Anolis sagrei: one gene and its partner. The protein of the gene in region 1 binds, or shares a complex with, the protein of each later gene. Links are inferred from orthologs where the notes say so. Each region holds a gene or a part of one and is shown in the gene's direction. Other genes may lie near its edges.

Region 1 (8,025 bases):
GGCCAATTGCAACATTGACACTTGCCTCAAACAGATAAGAGTTCTTTCTCCCATCCTGGACATTTAACAGATATATAAACCCCACTTGCCAACGCTATGTATAATTTGAGAGAGGATGGGATAGATGGCGGTTGAAGCACGGAAACTAATGGAAATACCTTATTTTTTCCTCTATTCAGTTAGAAAATAAAAATATACAAAACCACTTCCGATATTTAGAAATATAACTGGCATAAACCCAGAGCTAAGTTTTGGATCCAACTGAGAATATTTTGGTTTTTCACGGAAAGGGGTTAGAAATAAATACACTAATTACAGCAGAATCAAATGTCACTCCAAGAAAAACAGCTGAATTATTAATATTGCTCCTAATTAGCTCAAGCATATTTGTTTTCTACCAGTAGCAGCGTATTTCTGTCAAAGCAATATAAACTGATAAATTCTCACTAATGGAAACTGGAAGAAAGCCAGAGAAGCACAAGCTTCGTTTTCTACGCCAAATTTTGTGAATGAAACCAATCCTGGTAATGGAAAGCTTTATGAGAAATTTGGGAAATAATAATAATAATAATAATAATAATAATAATAATTTCTAGACCATCCTCTCTCCTCAAAGGGCAGTTTATATACATATAAAAAGGCAAATATTCAATGCCATAATTTAAAATCACACATCATCAGGAATGCAAAATGGACAGTAATAAACTAATTACCAGAAAATAATTAAGGTTAAAGTAATACGAAATACAGCTACTTAAATAAAACTTAAATAAAACATAATTACACTAATATAATATAATTTCACAAAAACAGAGGTTGAGGTTTCTGTTGGAAACTAGGCAAGTGGAGTGTATATGTCTGTGGAAAGTTCTGGGTGGGAGAAAGAACTCTTGTCGGCTTGAGGCAAGTGTTAATGTTTGGGCTCTGCCTCTCTTCATGATCGCATCTCCACCTATGAACCTGCACGGGCTAGAAGATCTGCCAGGGCCTTCTCAGTGGTGGCCCCCTGACTTTGGAACTCCCTCCCCAAAGAGATTAGGCAAGCTCCCACACTGTCCTCCTTCCATAGGGACCTCAAAACCTGGCTGGTTTTTGAGAATGATTAGTCTGTAGGCTCTGCACTTTATCCACTTCCCTGGCCCATGATACTCTATTGCATTAGCCCTTGCCCAGGCGTTTCATAGTGGGCCATGCCCATGTTGCAATTCTGGCCCAATGGTATTTTGAACTTGTCTGATAGAGTTATAAAGGTTTTTAAATTTTTGTGTTTGTTTTAGCAGAATTTTACGTTTGTTTTATGATGTTTATTTTAATTTGTTTGTATGGTTTTCCTTTCTGGCAAATGAATGTTTTGCCTTATGTTGGAAACCACCCTGAGTCCTCTTGGGGAGATAAGGTGGTATATAAATGAAGCTTTATTATTTTTATTATTTATTTATGACATTTATATATTATTATGTTATTATTATATTATATTTTATTATATTTATTTACTACATTTATAGGCCACCTTTCTCAGCCCTAAGGCGGGTTACAGATTGGCAACCATTCGATGCCATACAGTCATAAAAATACGATTAAAACAATTAGCATAATCATATAAAAACCATTACAATCATTAAATCATATAGTCACCAGTGTTGTCCTGTTAAAATCATTTTCCAATAGCATCTTCTAGCTATTCCATGTTCAGGTGGTTGTATGATAGCTGGGTCCCCCTGCTACAAGCATTACGCTGTTTCTGCAACACAGAATGGAACACGTTACTGAGACCGGGGGGGGGGGGGGGGGCAGTGAGAGACTGAGGTAATGTAAGCCAGGTCAGACACAGATAATAACAGATAATACTTAACTCTAACACTAACCCCTAACCCTAAAATGTAACCCTTACCCTCACCCTAACCCTAATCCCAACCCTTACCCTCCCCTCCTTACTATCCTTCCTTCAAATGCAACTGAAATGGCCACATTTCTGTATACGAACCCACACGATCTCTTCGATCATCTGGAGAGGCCCTGATCACGCTCCCGCCTCTTTCGCAGGAGCGATTGGTGGGGCCGAGGGAAAGGGCCTTCTCGGTGGTGGCCCCCCGACTCTGGAACTCACTTCCCAGAGACATCAGACATGCCCCATCTCTGGCAGTCTTTAGGAGGAGCTTGAAAATGTGGTTGTTCCAGTGTGCCTTCCCAGAATAAGGAAAACCCTCAGCATTATGTCCTCAAAATGCACTTTACTACTGCTTTAGGATTGACTGCATTCCCTCATTCTCTCTAAAAATCCTATTTATTTATTTATTTATTTATTTGATGCACTTATTAACCGCCATTCTCAGCCCTTACGGGCGACTCATGGCGGTGTACAGTACACATAAAAAGACAGTTACAAAGGCCAGTATCAACAACATATAACTATACGACAAATACAAACTACATAAAAATCCGCTTCGTCTCTTAGTAGAATCATAGCCAGTCTCATCTTCCTTATACCATTCCAGTTCTCATTACCGTAATGTTGTTGCTTACCACTTAATTAAATGCCCTCTCGAACAGCCAGGTCTTAAGGCTTTTTCGAAAGGACATGAGGGAGGGCGCCTGTCTGATGTGTGCCGGGAGAGTGTTCCACAGCCGGGGGGCCACCACCGAGAAGGCCCTCTCCCTCGTCCCCGCCAGCCGTGCCTGTGATGCAGGCGGGATCGAGAGAAGGGCCTCCCCAGACGATCTCAAGGTCCTCGTGGGCTCGTAGGCCAAGATGCGGTCAGAAAGGTATTTCTATCCCAATTATATCCTACCTGGTTCACATAAGCACTATTTTTTTAATTTAAATTTATCACATTTGGCCCGGCCTTTGGTTTTAAATGTTTATATGTTACTGTTGATTGCTTATTGTCTATTTTGTTTATGTGATTATGATTTATATTGCATTGATTGTTTATTGATGTTTATTTTATTGATGTTCTGTTTATTGATGTATTGCGGGCTTGGCCTCATGTAAGTCGCACCAAGTCCCTTGGGGAGATGGTAGCGGGGTACAAATAAAGTGTTATTATTATATTATAAAGTATATTCCCGCCCTCAGTGTCTCGCTCTCCCCACTCTCACTCCGGTTCCTCTCTCCACCATGCAATCCCTTCCCTTTGCGGCATCTGTGTAGCGCTCATAGCAGGGGGACCCAGCTATCATACAATCACCCATGTTCATTATTCATAGTTTCATGTTAACTATTCCACTGCATTTCCAAAAGCTTGCTTGAAGAGCCAAGTGTGTGTGTGTATAGATAGATAGATAGATGGATAGATAATGTTCGTTCGTGGGATTAACATAACTCAAAAACCACTGGATGCATTGACACCAAATTTGGGCACAATACACTTATGAGGCCAACGAGTGACCATCACTCATAAAAACACTGGAAAACATAGCGGAAGCAACTTAAAAGCCAAAAAAAGCAAAAATATGCAATAGCACATGCACACAAACGACTCCCCAGCAAACAAAACATATAATAGCATATCCACACCCTCTTCTGGATTACAGCTCCCAGCATCCCCTTGACCAGACCCTTTAGGAGAGGAGGATGATCCAAATGCACTAATTCCAAGGTGCAAGCTTTCTTCTCCTTACATTTCTTCGAGAGCATCCCAATCCCTGCATATCTCCAATTTCCTATTCCTGGACTGCAACTCCCAGCAATCCTCCAGATAGATTACATAGAGATAGGTAGGTGGCTAGATGGATCAGGAGGACTGCTGGGAGTTGCAGTCCAAGAATAGGTAGAGAAGGAAGAAAGGGGAGAAAGAGAAAAGGAAGGAAAAGGTGGGAGGAAGGGAGGGAGGAAGGAGAGAAGGAATGAGAGAAAAAAAGGGGAAAGAAAGAGGGAAGGAAAGAAGAGGAAGAGGGAGGGAAGGTTGGTCACAGCAACGTGTGGCGGGTACAGCTAGTATGTATGTGTATGTATATATATATATATATATATATACAAACATTTATATATTATGTTATTAATATATTATAATTATTATATTATTATGTTGTAATTGGCGACCATGATTAGCATTTGATGACCTTGCAGCTTCAAAGCCTGGCTGATCGTTTTGATGTGTTTGTACAGCCCGACACTGAGGCGCGGGAAACGCCTCATGCTGGGCAAACCTCCCTTTGGGCGCGAGAACCTTGAATCAAGCGCGCGCCACTGGCGAAGGGACGCTCGCGGGGAGACCTTCGGAGCAATGACGACGCGCCGCTCTATTACCTGAGAAAACGTGCGGGGGGGGGGGGGGGTAAGAAGAAGAGAGCGCGAGAGCGACGCATGCGCATCAAAACAGAAGGGGAAGGCGCCGCGTAGGGAGGAAAGAGGGAGAAAGTGGACGTCATCGGAATCCGGCGCCCAATGAGCGCGCAGGGGGCGGAGGCGGTTCTGAGGTGGTCACCTGACTGTGGTGGGTCGGGTGTTCGCGGCGCTGGCAGGATCCGCGGTCGAGCTGGCCCTGAGGGAAGGAGGTTGCATGGCCGGCGTTCCCGGGAAGGGCCGCGCGCTTATGGGCCCGAGGCGGGTGAGTGGGCGGGCGAGCGAAGAGGCCTCTCGCGCCGTGGGAGCCGGGTCTTGAGGGAGCAGGAGCGGGGAGGGAGGAGGGGAGGGGAGGAGAGTCCCATTGCGCATGCGCACATCCCAGGACTGGAGTCCCTGAGCCTGCGCTTGTTGCCTCCTTGCTTTGGGAAGGGAAGTCCCAGTCCAGGACTGGGGTGAAAGGGGGCGTATATTGGGCACGATAATGAGGACGTGTGGGGTGGTTTTCGTTGTGGGATATCCAAGGGTGTATCTACAGTGAAGAATTAATGGCTTCACTGCCATGGCTCATGGAAAATATAGATAGCTTTACCAGGTTTTTAGCCTTCTCTGACCAAGGGCCCCTCCACACAGCCAGAACATCAAGGCAGAATAACCCACAACATCTGCTTTGAACTGGGTTATCTGAGTCCACACTGCCATGTATATATATATATATATATATATAAATATAATATATTGTATATATATGTAATATTTATAATGTAGTACAATGTAATACTAATAATATATGATATTATAATTATATATTTCATATTGCATGTAATATTACTAATAATATTACAATGTAATGGTATAGTACAATATAGTGATATATAATACTGATACTGTACTATGCTAATAATATAATATATTGTGCATATATATATATATATATATATATAAAACTTGTAAGCCGCTCTGAGTCCTCTTTGGGGTTAGAAGAGCAGCATATAAATGTCGTAAATAAATAAATACATAAATTCCAGTTCAAACCAGATATTATGGGTTATTCCGCCTTGATATCCTTGGTTATAGGGCTGTGTGGAAGGGCCCCAAGAGTCCTGCTGCCCCAACAAACTACAGATCCCATAATTCCACAGCCATGGCAGTTAAAAGGATAATTGAACCTCATTAGAGCTACAATAGATACTCCCTACACGCTAAAGTTATCCCTTAAAGCAGGCCTGGGCAAACTTTGGCCCTCGAGGTGTTTGGACTTCAACTCCCATAATTCCTAATAGCCTGAGGCCCTTTCCTTTTCCCTCTCAGCTGCTTAAGAGTCCAAAACACCTGGAGAGCTCAAGTTTGCCCTGGCCTGCCTTAAAGGTTCTGGGGAATGAGTAATAATAATTACTCATTTCACAATCTGCCTTCCTTCCAAAGCCAATGTAAACAGCTGAAAAATCAGTCATTTTTAAAAATAATTACAATTTTAAAAATTGTTAAATTATCACCAGTTTATTATGACTAATAGAGTTTCAGTGCTAGTCCAGTCTGTTGTAGCATCTCGTTGTAGGGCTAGATTGCTATTAAAGAGACTTGTTTGGGGGAATCGACGGCCTTTGAGGTTATAGCAGCAAATGCAGCAAAGATTTTAAGGACTCATAAGATTCTTTTGGTGTATAATTTTGTGCCAGCTGGAAAAGTTTATGCCAAATAACACACACAGTGACATAAGACTCATTGCTGATATTGGTTCTGAAAAGAGTTTTGTGAGAAACAGATGTTGTTGTGGTAAACCTACAGGAAATCCTGTTGCCTGAGTGGTAGTTCAACCTACTTTTTAAAAATGAGATCTTGCTTATGTCGTTTTGCTTATATTACCTTGACATCTATTATAGTATCATTAACAGCATTATTTGCATGAAGTCATGTATGAAACGTGGAGTTTTAAAAGCTTTTTCACAAGTGTTGTCGAAATCTTTCATGGCTGGAATCACTGGGTTGCTGTGAGTTTTCTAGGCAGTATGGCCATGTTCCAAAAGCATTCTCTCCTGATGTTTCACCCACATCACCTCATCACACTAGAGAATGAATTCACTTTAAATCTGGTTGCTGCCTCCTGCAGAATTCTGGGGTTTAGGGAGGAGCCTTTAACAGCTTCACTAAACTACAAACCCCAGAATTCTGTAGGAGGCAGAAACCGGTTTTTATGTGGATTCATTTGCTAGTGTGATGACGTAGTATGACAGGCATCCTCAGAGGTTGTGAAGTTTGTTAGAAACAAGGCAAGTGGGTATATGGCTGTGGAATGCCCTTCCTAGGGATATTAGATCGGCCCCCTCCCTCTTAACATTTCGCAAAAAAGTTTAAACCTGGCTTTTTGAGCAGGCATTTGCAAACTCAATATAACAGGCAACGATAGACCAAGGTTGTAAGTTTATGAGGAAAAATGGCAAAATAACATCCCAAGCAATCCATTGTGCCCCTTTCCCTCATTCTGCCTTCTCTATTTTTCTATCCAGAGTGACAGAAAGTTCTAGCTCTGTCAAAATAGCTAAATAATCAACTGAATTTCTGATCCCTTACTCCCTTGATGTGAACTTTTGCCTCTCTGGATGCTGCCAAATTATACTGCAAGCTAAACATCTCCCATTTCAAGGCAAATGGATAAAATTGGAAATAAAGCTTGAATTTAAAATCTAATGAAAAAAATTTAGGCTTGTCTCAACTTTAGTTTTATGACTACAATGAAAACTTCAAAGGTTTTGTAATAAAGGATACCATTTGATTGCTGTAGTTTTGTTTGCTATAATGGTAACTTTATTGGCATAGTCTGATATATAAAAAGTAAAGTGATGTGTGTAACGCCCAGCTCTTCCTCATTGGGACATGCATTGTGTCTTATAGAGCATACAGTATATCTTAAACCCTGATCTGCTACACCTCCATTGTCTTTCTTCACAAGGCCATTAAATTCATTAGAACATATTCAGCTTGCTACCAGTGAGTAGGTTTTTAATTCTAGCAGAAGATTCTGTTCTGCTGTGAGGTCTGAAAGTTTTGAACATTTTTGAAAGACTCATAAGGATCAAGATGCTTTGGAAGTGCCTCTCAGGTTTAAGAAAAGAAATAGTTATATAGATAGAGATTAGAGTGTACACTTTGGAAGTGCTTAGGCTATTTCTAAAAGTTCTGTGTAGCTTGGTGTTGAACATCAAGGCTAGCCAAAATTCGTGAATCCTTCAACGTAAACAAGCATAGGCTGAACTTTAGGAAGTCAAAAGCTGGATGTAAAAGATGGCTTGAAAGTAAAAGCTGATGTAAGTAAAGGTGAGAGATGTTTGTGTAAGCATACGCAGGATAGGTCTCCAAAGCCTTGGTTGGATAGTTTAAGAAAAGAGGACCACTGAAGTGTTAAAGGGAAAGAATTCTTGAAAATTTGATACCATGAAGTGTTCGAAAGATTCCTCACCACCAGTTATTGACATAAAGTTGTGTACAAATCACAATTTCTTTATTAGTACAGTGTGAGTCAGGGAAAAAAAGAACTACATGGTGATCTGTGGATTTGTTTAAAAGGAAAAGAGAGTTAATATTATCATACTCTGTTTCTGTTCTAATGCCAGTACTGTATTGGAGTAGTATAGTACTTGTGTGTCTTTACTGTTAGAAATGTAAAGCAGCTGCATGTGAGAATCTCCATACTTCAACTTGGCATCAGTTCTAAGTGATGAAGCACTTCATGGAGAAAGTTT
Region 2 (8,195 bases), on another chromosome or scaffold:
TGAAAATTAAACTCTGATACGAACTGGAACAGTGACAACAGAAATATTTACAATGTTAAGAAGGAAGTCAACATAAGATCAACACCATTCAAGAACAATCAACATCTGGCTAGGAAACTGAGATGGAACCAGGATGCATGACATCTATCATTAATTTAGAACTTTGGGACTACATCAACGAATATTCCTATAAAAGACTCAATCTAATAATTCTAAAAGTGTGACAGACCTGTGGAGTCTGGTTCACCCACCTCTCTGCTCCATGGGAAGGACAGAGATGGTGTACTTGGCGAGTGTCAGATATGCTATGGGAAAGCATGATTCTATACACTTTGGGACTTCTTTCTGAAGGGAAGAGGAAGAAGTGTGCTTTTGGAGTCTTGGATTTTGTGTAGGGAGTCAGGTTCTGCTGTATGGAAAACAGAGATCTGGTCCTTGCCATTGTTTTTAGGGTATAAGTTTTGGCATTTTGAAGTTATGGAAGTTTTGGATCTATGTGTTGGCAGGTTGCAGGAAAGCAGGGTCTGACCTAACTGGTGCTTCTCCAAGGAGAGAGAAAAGGATATGGTAATATTTGGATGCATGACAATGAATGCATGTACATGTGTGTGAATGGTGATTGAAAATGTAATTCCCCTTTGTTTGTTGGTTAGCCATGTAATTGTAAATCCAATGTAGTTGCATAGAATCTGTATGTCTAAACGTTTTTCTGTAATCTGATAGACCCTCTCACACTGGAAATCACAATAAAAAGAACCTATGCTTAAAAGTTATTAAAAAGTTATTCATGACAAATTGGTGTCAGAAATGGGATATGCCTTTCCAGTGTGGGAAAGTTATTCATAACACGCTCTACCATTATTTAGCTCTGGGTTCACTTGTCGTTAGCTACATTTGTCATAGGCTTTGTGCTTAATGCCTTTCTCCCTCAGTCCTTCATATGAAAAAGGACCTCCAGTTGTACATTAACACCATGCGCTGTAATTAACTTATTTTTCAAATACATACAGGATAGAAGATGGCTTGCATATTCATTCACCAACTAGGAAGAAAATTGCTCAGTTTTTAATTCTAAATTTGTGTGTGATCTTCAGTTTCATCTCACACATTCAGTATGTGTGTATGTGCTTTCAAGCTGCATGTCAAGATCATGATTTTTGTAGGGTTTTTATGGCAAATAATATTCAGAGGTTCTTTGCCAGTTCCTTCCTCTGAAATATAACCTACAGGTACTAACCAGCACTGATCTTACTTAGTTTCAAAGAATAGGCAGGATCTGGTAACTTTAGGATATTTAGACCATTTTATTCATCTTACTGAAATCGTTAGTTCCAATTTTCTTATGATTGCTTGCTTATTAGCTCTGATGCTGCTACAAGTTTTCACTTTGCCTGAAACAATGCTGCCATCTAAGGACAAAATGGATAAGTTACAAGCCAGAGCCTTCCAGCTGTCTTTCAAACTGACTTAACTTTGCTCCACTAGAAAAAATATCCCAAAAGAAGCAATGTGGTAATAATTTCATTAGGAGGTATCTACAATATATTACCTAAAGAGGCAAGAGCACTTCAAGTCTCATTATTATACACAATGGCATAGTAAAATGTTGTCTCTTGTATAAAATAGCAAAATCAAGGTTTGCTGTTTTGGATTTATATATATGTATTATACACATACACACAGATGTAATACATACATACATACATACATACATATATACACACACATATAATTTTATATAATATATATTATAAATATAATACATTTTATAATATATTTTTATATTTTATATATAAACCATATTTAACTTGGGTGTTGTAGAAGCAGTACTTCAATTCAAATTTTGATGTAAGTGAGCAATTTCCACCCACTGCGGGGTTGCTTTCTGCCAAGTACAATGCTCTCAGTTCCGAATAGAATCATTGCAGTTTCTCTACCAAACCGAAGGGGGCGGCACTGCGGAGAGACCACAGCACTTCAAGCTCTGTGCTTTTTCAGTGAGAGTCCTAAGAGTAATTCAAATGCAACCTGGAGAAAATTCCTGAAAAACACATACATTACGACCTCTCTACCTCTGAGGATGCTTGCCATAGATGCAGGCGAAACGTCAGGAGAGAATGCCTCTAGACCATGGCCATATAGCCCGAAAAAACCTACAACAACCCTATGTAATAATGCACTGGCATTGTTATTGTTTATTCATTCAGTTGCTTCCAACTTTGTGACCTCATAGGCAAGCCCATGCCAGGGCTCCCTGTCGGCCGTTGCCACCCCCGGTTCCTAAATATATACTGTACACAAGTCTTATCAGCATTTTATCTACCAAAGATGTGAAATTCCATTCTCTGGGATAACCATTTAGTTCTTAACTGTAATTGACTGAATTGTCCATGTGAGGGGCAGAAGGAATAGACATTAAGTATGACATCACTTCAAATAACTCTTGCTTGCAGTTATTATTTTCCACTTTTACAGGCTCTGCAACCAATACACGCTTTCACTGTTTATCGAATTCTCTTGGACCTACGTAAACATTGAGTTTCCCCGTGGCTCTGGCTTATCTCTAAACTGCGGCTGTTATCGTTGACCCAACCAGGTGTCAAGTTTTCTTGCAAGCTCGAGTCAGAAGAAGGGAGTGAATTTTCTTTCTCATGAGAACCTGGTTTTTCTCTTGTAGTCTCTAAATCAAAGCCTGTAGGATTTTTACTGCCCAAAGTGTCTCCATCCTGAACCTCATCCTCATTGATCACTTCAGCCTCACTATCCAAACTAGGCCCTTCAACATTAACATCAATATTATCCACATTAGGCAATACAATCAGAGATTCAGGCTCAAGGTCACACACAGGGTCACACACAGGTTGAGTCCCAACACCGATATGCCCAAATTTGAACTCTGGTGGGGTTGTGGGAGGGTTGATTTTGTCATTTGGAAGTTGCTGGGATTTACAGTTCACCTACAATTAAAGCGTATTCTGAACTCTACCAATCATGGAATTGAACCAAACCTGACACATAGAACTCCCATGACCAACAGAAGATACTGGAAGTTCATGAGTTTTGCAGCTGTAGTTCACCTGAATCCTGACAGCACTGTGGACTCAAACAATTATAGATCTGGACCAAACTTGGCACAAATACCCAATATGCCCAAATGTGGACACTGGTGGAGTTTGAGGAAAACAGACCTTGATATTTGGGAGTTGTAGTTGCTGGGATTTATAGTTCACCTACAATCAAAGAGCATTCTGAATCCCACCAACAATAGGATTGGGCCAAACTTCCCACACAGAACTGCCATGACCAACAGAAATTGCTGTGTTTTCCGATGGTCTTTGAAGACCTCTCTTGACACGCCCTGGCGACCTCTTCAGGGGTCCGGACCCCCAGGTTGAGAAATACTGGTCTAGCCTTTCTTGTTTATCAATCCTAGTTTCATGTTATCTATTCCGCTCCATTCTCAAAAGCTTGTTCAAAGAGCTACGTTTTTACCTTTTTTCGGAGGGGGGACAATCTAATATCCCTGAGGAGCGAGTTCCATAGCTGGGGGGGGGGGGGGGGCACCACTGAGAAGGCCCTGTCCCTTGTCCATGCCAATTGCACTTGTGAGGCAAGCAGGATTGAGAGCAGCGACTCCCTAGACCAGAGGTCCACAAACTTTTTAAACAGAGGACCAGGTCACAGTCCCTCAAACTGTTGGAGGGCCAAATTATAATTTGAAAAAAGCATGAATGAATTCCTATGCACACTGCACATATCTTATTTGTAATGCAAAAAAAAAGAAAAAAGAAAGAAAAACACTTTAAAATAATACAATAATTAAAATGAAGAAAATTTTTAACAAATATAAACTTATTAGTATTTCAATGGGAAGTATGAGCCTGCTTTTGATTGATGAGAAAGAATTGTTGTTGCAGTTGTGTGCTTGCAAGTTGTTTCAGACTTAGGTTGCCACTGAGCGAGGGCCAGGTCGATGACCTTGGAGGGCCATATTCGGCCCCCGGGCTGTAGTTTGAGGACCCCTGCCCATGACGATCTTAAACTCCTAGATGGTTCATAGGAGGAGATACATTTGGACAGGTAAGCTGGGCCGGAACTGCTTAGGTTTTTATAGGCTAAAGCCAGCATTATGAATTGTCAGGCCATTATATGCTAATCAAGGTGGTCAGTTGAAACATTCACACCTAGCTCTAGCAGAGAAGAGTCCTTTGTCTCACCCTGGTCCTTCCACAGATATATAAACCCTTTTGCCTAGTTCCAACAGACCTCACTACCTCTGAGGATGCTTGCCAAAATGCAGGCGAAACGTCAGGAGAGAATGCCTCTAGACCATGGCCATACAGCCCGAAAAAAGCCTACAACAACCCATTTTGAATTGTGTTCGGTAGCAGATTGGCAGCCATGTATTATGTCAATGTGTTGTTGAAGGCTTTCATGGCCGGAATCACTGCGTTGCTGTGAGATATTCGCGCTGTATGGCCACATTCCGCTAGCCGTCTCGTCTTATTATGTCAATGCTGCCCAAAAGTGGAGCCTGTAGGTTTCGGGACTTCAACTCCCAGGATTCCCGACAGTGGGCCAAGCTGGCTGAGGCTTCTGGGAGTTGAAGTCTAAACGAACCTGGCGGAGCGAAGCTTGAGCTCCACTGCGCAGGCGTAGAGGGAAATCCCTCAGAAGCCGGAAGTGAAGGCATCCCGGAGCCTTTTTGTTTTGGTGGTTGACAAACCGAGCTCGTGGGCGGGGCTTGCTTGCCTCGAGAGCGCCGGAAGAGGAGTGTTTTTCCGCCGAGATCCCGGAAGTGGCTGTGTTGTGGTCGCCGGCCTGAGAATGGCTCGCCGGTTCTGCGTGGAGCTGTGAGGGGCCATGTCGTGAGGGAGAGGGCGTCCTCCTCCTTTATGGGCCACTTTCTCTCGCGGAAGGAGGGAACGGGAGCCGCGCCGGGACGCAGCGCGGAGCAGAGCCGCCTCCGCCGCCGCTTTCGCCTCCGCCGCCGGGCGCTGAGCGGCGGGAGCCGGGGCTGCTTCCTCCGCGGGCCTTGCATGCTGTGCTTCTTGGTCCACGGCGCCCCCGAGGAGCCCCCGCAGGCCAGGCGGCCCTCCCCGCGCCTCTTGGCGGCGCTGAAGGAAGAGCGCGGCCTCCGCTGCCCACGCCTCCGCCGGCACCTGCTGCTCTCCGGACTCCTCCTCCCGCCGCCGCCGCCGCCGCCCCCTCCCGGGCGTCGAGGCGCCCCCGGCCCTGCCCTGGAGAGCGGCCAGGCTCCGCCGGAGATGGTCTGCAAGCGCAAAGGCGTCGGACTGCCCGCCTGCCCGCCCCGCAAGCAGCCCCGCTGCGCCGCCATCGCCGCCGGCCCTGACAGCGCCGCCCCGCCGCTTCCGCCACCCGCGCAGCTCGCCTGCCCGCTGCCCTCCGCCTCCGAGCCCAGGGAGCCCGCCGCCAGCGAGAACGGGGCCGGGAGGGCGCTGCCCGCCGAAGGGGCCCGGCCCCAAGCACCCCGAGTCGGCGGCGAGGAGGAGGAGGAGGAGGGCGAGGAGAAGAACAAGAAGGGCGAGCGGCGCCAGCAGGAGCCCCGGCGAGAGCCCCCCGACTGCGAGGAGCCCCCCGAAAACCCCGGCGACTGCTGCTCTCGCGGGGAGCCCCCCGGCCCCACCCCGGACATCAACCAGCTGCCGCCCTCCATCCTCCTCAAGGTGAGCTCACCACTTTGGGCCAAACTATGTGGGCGCGGGGGGGGGGGCAGATGGAAGAGACCGATCTCCCCCTGCCATCCAGCCACGCAGGAAAATACAATCAAAGCACTTCTGACAGGTGGCCATTTATTTATTTACCTTATTTATGCCCCGCCCCCTGGTAGTGCCGTGGGTTAAACCGCTGAGCTGCTGAACTTGCTGACCAAAAGGTCGCTGGTTCAAATCTGGGGAACAGCTCCTGCTGTTAGCCACAGCTTCTGCCAACCTATAAGTTTGAAAATATGCAAAGGTGAGTAGATCAATAGGTACTGCTCTGGCTGGAAGGTAACAGCGCTCCGTGCAGTAATGCTGGCCACTTTACCTCGGAGATATCTACAGACAATGCTGGCTCTTTGGCTTAAAAATGGAGATGAGCACCAACCCCCAGAGTTGAACACAACTGGACTTACCTTAGAGGTGGAAGAGACTGACACCCTCCTCAGGGCCATCTAGCCCAACCCCTTTCTCCCAGGCAGGAAAATACAATCAAAGCACTCTTGACAGGTGGCCATCCAGGTTCTGTTTGAAAACCTCCAGAGGAGGCCCCACCATGCTTGAAGGCAGCACATTCGACTGTCAAACAGCTCTTCCTATAAATACGTTTTTTCTCCCATTTCATGGGAATATTTTTCTTGCAATTTGAATCCATTGTGTACTAGTCTCCAGAGCATCAGAAAACAAGGTTGCCCCCTCCTCAGCATGACATCCTTTCATATATTTTAACATGTCACTCATGTCCCTGGTCAAATAATATTTAGTATAAAGCCAAGTTCTTTTTTTAAACTTTGTGTTTTTAAATGCATTTTAACTGTACCCTCAACTCACTTCTGACACAATAAATAAATCATGTCCCTTCTCAGCCACCTTTTCTCCAAGCGAAACATACCCAGATCCCTCAGCCATTCCTCATATGGCTTGGTTCCAAAACATTTGATCATTTTGGACACCTTCCAGCTTGTCAATGACCTTAAACTGTGATGCCCAGGTGTGGGCCAAGGTTATTCCAGGTGAGGTCTGGCCAAAGCAGAATAGAGTGGGGCTATGATCTAGACCAGGCATCGTCAAACTCCGGCTCTCCAGTTGTTTGGGCCTCCAACCTCAAGAATTCCCGACCATTGAACAAACTGGCTAGATCTTCTAGGACAGTGGTTCTCAACCTTTGGGCCCCCCAGGTCTTTTGGCCTACAATTCCCAGAAATCCTAGCCAGTTTGTCATCTGTTTGGATTTCTGGGAGTTGTAGGCCAAAGCATCTTGGGACCCACATGTTGAGAACCACTGTTCTAGGAGTTGGAGGCCGAAACAGATGGAGAGCCACAGTGTGAGGATTTCTCCCTGTTGGAATTCATTTTGTTAGTTTTGACCTATCTCTCTAACTTGTTAAAGTTATTTTGGATTGTGATCCTGTCCTCATCCTGGAGAGAAGTGGCCAGTGGGTACCAAAGGAGTCTGTCCTGAGCCCAGTGCTATTCAACATATTTATCAGTGGCTTGGATGACAGAATAGAAGGCATGCTTATCAAATTTGCAAATGATACCAAATTGGAAAGTAAAGTAATATCCCAAAGGACAGGACCAGACAGGATCCACTCTGTGTCCAGTTCTGGGCCGTGCAATTTGAGAAGGATTTTGACAAGCTGGAATGTGTCCAGAGAAGGGCGTCCAAAACTATCAAAGGTTTAGAATGAGGAATAGCATCGGGATCTGGGTCTTTAGCTTGGAGCGACTGAGATGAGACATGAATGACCTGTTCAAATATTTGAAAGGATGTCACACTGAGAAAAGGGCAGGCTTGTTTTCTGCTGCTCTGAAGACTGGGAAACACTGGAGCAATGGATTCAAATTGCAGGAAAAAAGATTTCACATAAACATTAGGAAGAACTTCCTGACAGTAAGAGCTGTTCAGCAGTGGAATATGCTGCCTTGGAGCAGGGTGGAGGCTTCTTTGGAGGTTTTTAAGGCTGGTTAGCCGTCTGTAGGGAGTACTTTGCTTGTCTTTTCCTGCATGGCCTTTGTGGACTGAATGGTCTTCCAACTCTAGGAGTCTATGAGTTCTCTAGCCAAATAGAACTGCTTTATGATCGCTCATTGTTGGTGAAGTCCTTAAGCTTTTTACTCAGCATAATGCTGCCTATGTATATGGCACAGTCATTCATCTAGTACACATGTTATTTCTGGGTATTTTAGTTAAAAGAGTTGTAGCTTGATTAAATAATTTTTTGTGAAGTGCGAAGACGCAAACTCAGAAGAAAACTGTTTTCAGGGCATATTTTTGAAAGAATTTCAAGAAATTTAGCTTTAACTAATTTCTGTTTTTTTCTCCCTTTTGTAGATATTTTCCAACTTATCTTTGAATGAACGATGTCTTTCAGCATCATTGGTTTGTAAATATTGGCGTGATCTTTGTTTAGATTTCCAGTTTTGGAAGCAATTGGATCTTAGTAGTCGTCAGCAGGTATGAAAGAACATTTA

What was found.
Region 2: the proteins of BACH1 (region 1) and FBXL17 are in contact, whole or in part, in a cryo-EM structure (PDB 8UAH), measured with the Homo sapiens proteins. The link is inferred for Anolis sagrei from reciprocal best matches to the Homo sapiens genes BACH1 and FBXL17. Residues at the interface, in NP_001177.1 of Homo sapiens: Val20, Leu21, Ser23, Leu24, Gln27, Val32, Leu33, Asp35, Phe39, His48, Arg49, Ser50, Val51, Ala53, Ala54, Cys55, Ser56, Ser57, His60, Ser61, Arg62, Val64, Asn72, Thr74, Pro76, His116, Asn117; in NP_001156787.2 of Homo sapiens: Asp395, Arg421, Asn447, Gln473, Gln498, Glu499, Met524, Arg548, Cys574, Leu575, Tyr598, Val600, Ser601, Asp623, Trp626, Met651, Arg652, Val676, Gln678, Asp679, Cys680, Arg682, Thr683, Glu685, Gln689, Trp692.

The regions. Positions count from the first base shown.
Region 1 is NC_090023.1:68,169,072-68,177,096, forward strand, and holds the start of BACH1 (transcription regulator protein BACH1), read left to right. Parts: upstream 1-4,401; 5' UTR 4,402-4,550; intron 4,551-8,025. UniProt on the Homo sapiens protein: Transcriptional regulator that acts as a repressor or activator, depending on the context. Binds to NF-E2 DNA binding sites. Plays important roles in coordinating transcription activation and repression by MAFK.
Region 2 is NC_090022.1:246,945,965-246,954,159, forward strand, and holds the start of FBXL17 (F-box/LRR-repeat protein 17), read left to right. Parts: upstream 1-4,758; 5' UTR 4,759-4,895; coding exon 4,896-5,687; intron 5,688-8,055; coding exon 8,056-8,178; intron 8,179-8,195. UniProt on the Homo sapiens protein: Substrate-recognition component of the SCF(FBXL17) E3 ubiquitin ligase complex, a key component of a quality control pathway required to ensure functional dimerization of BTB domain-containing proteins (dimerization quality control, DQC).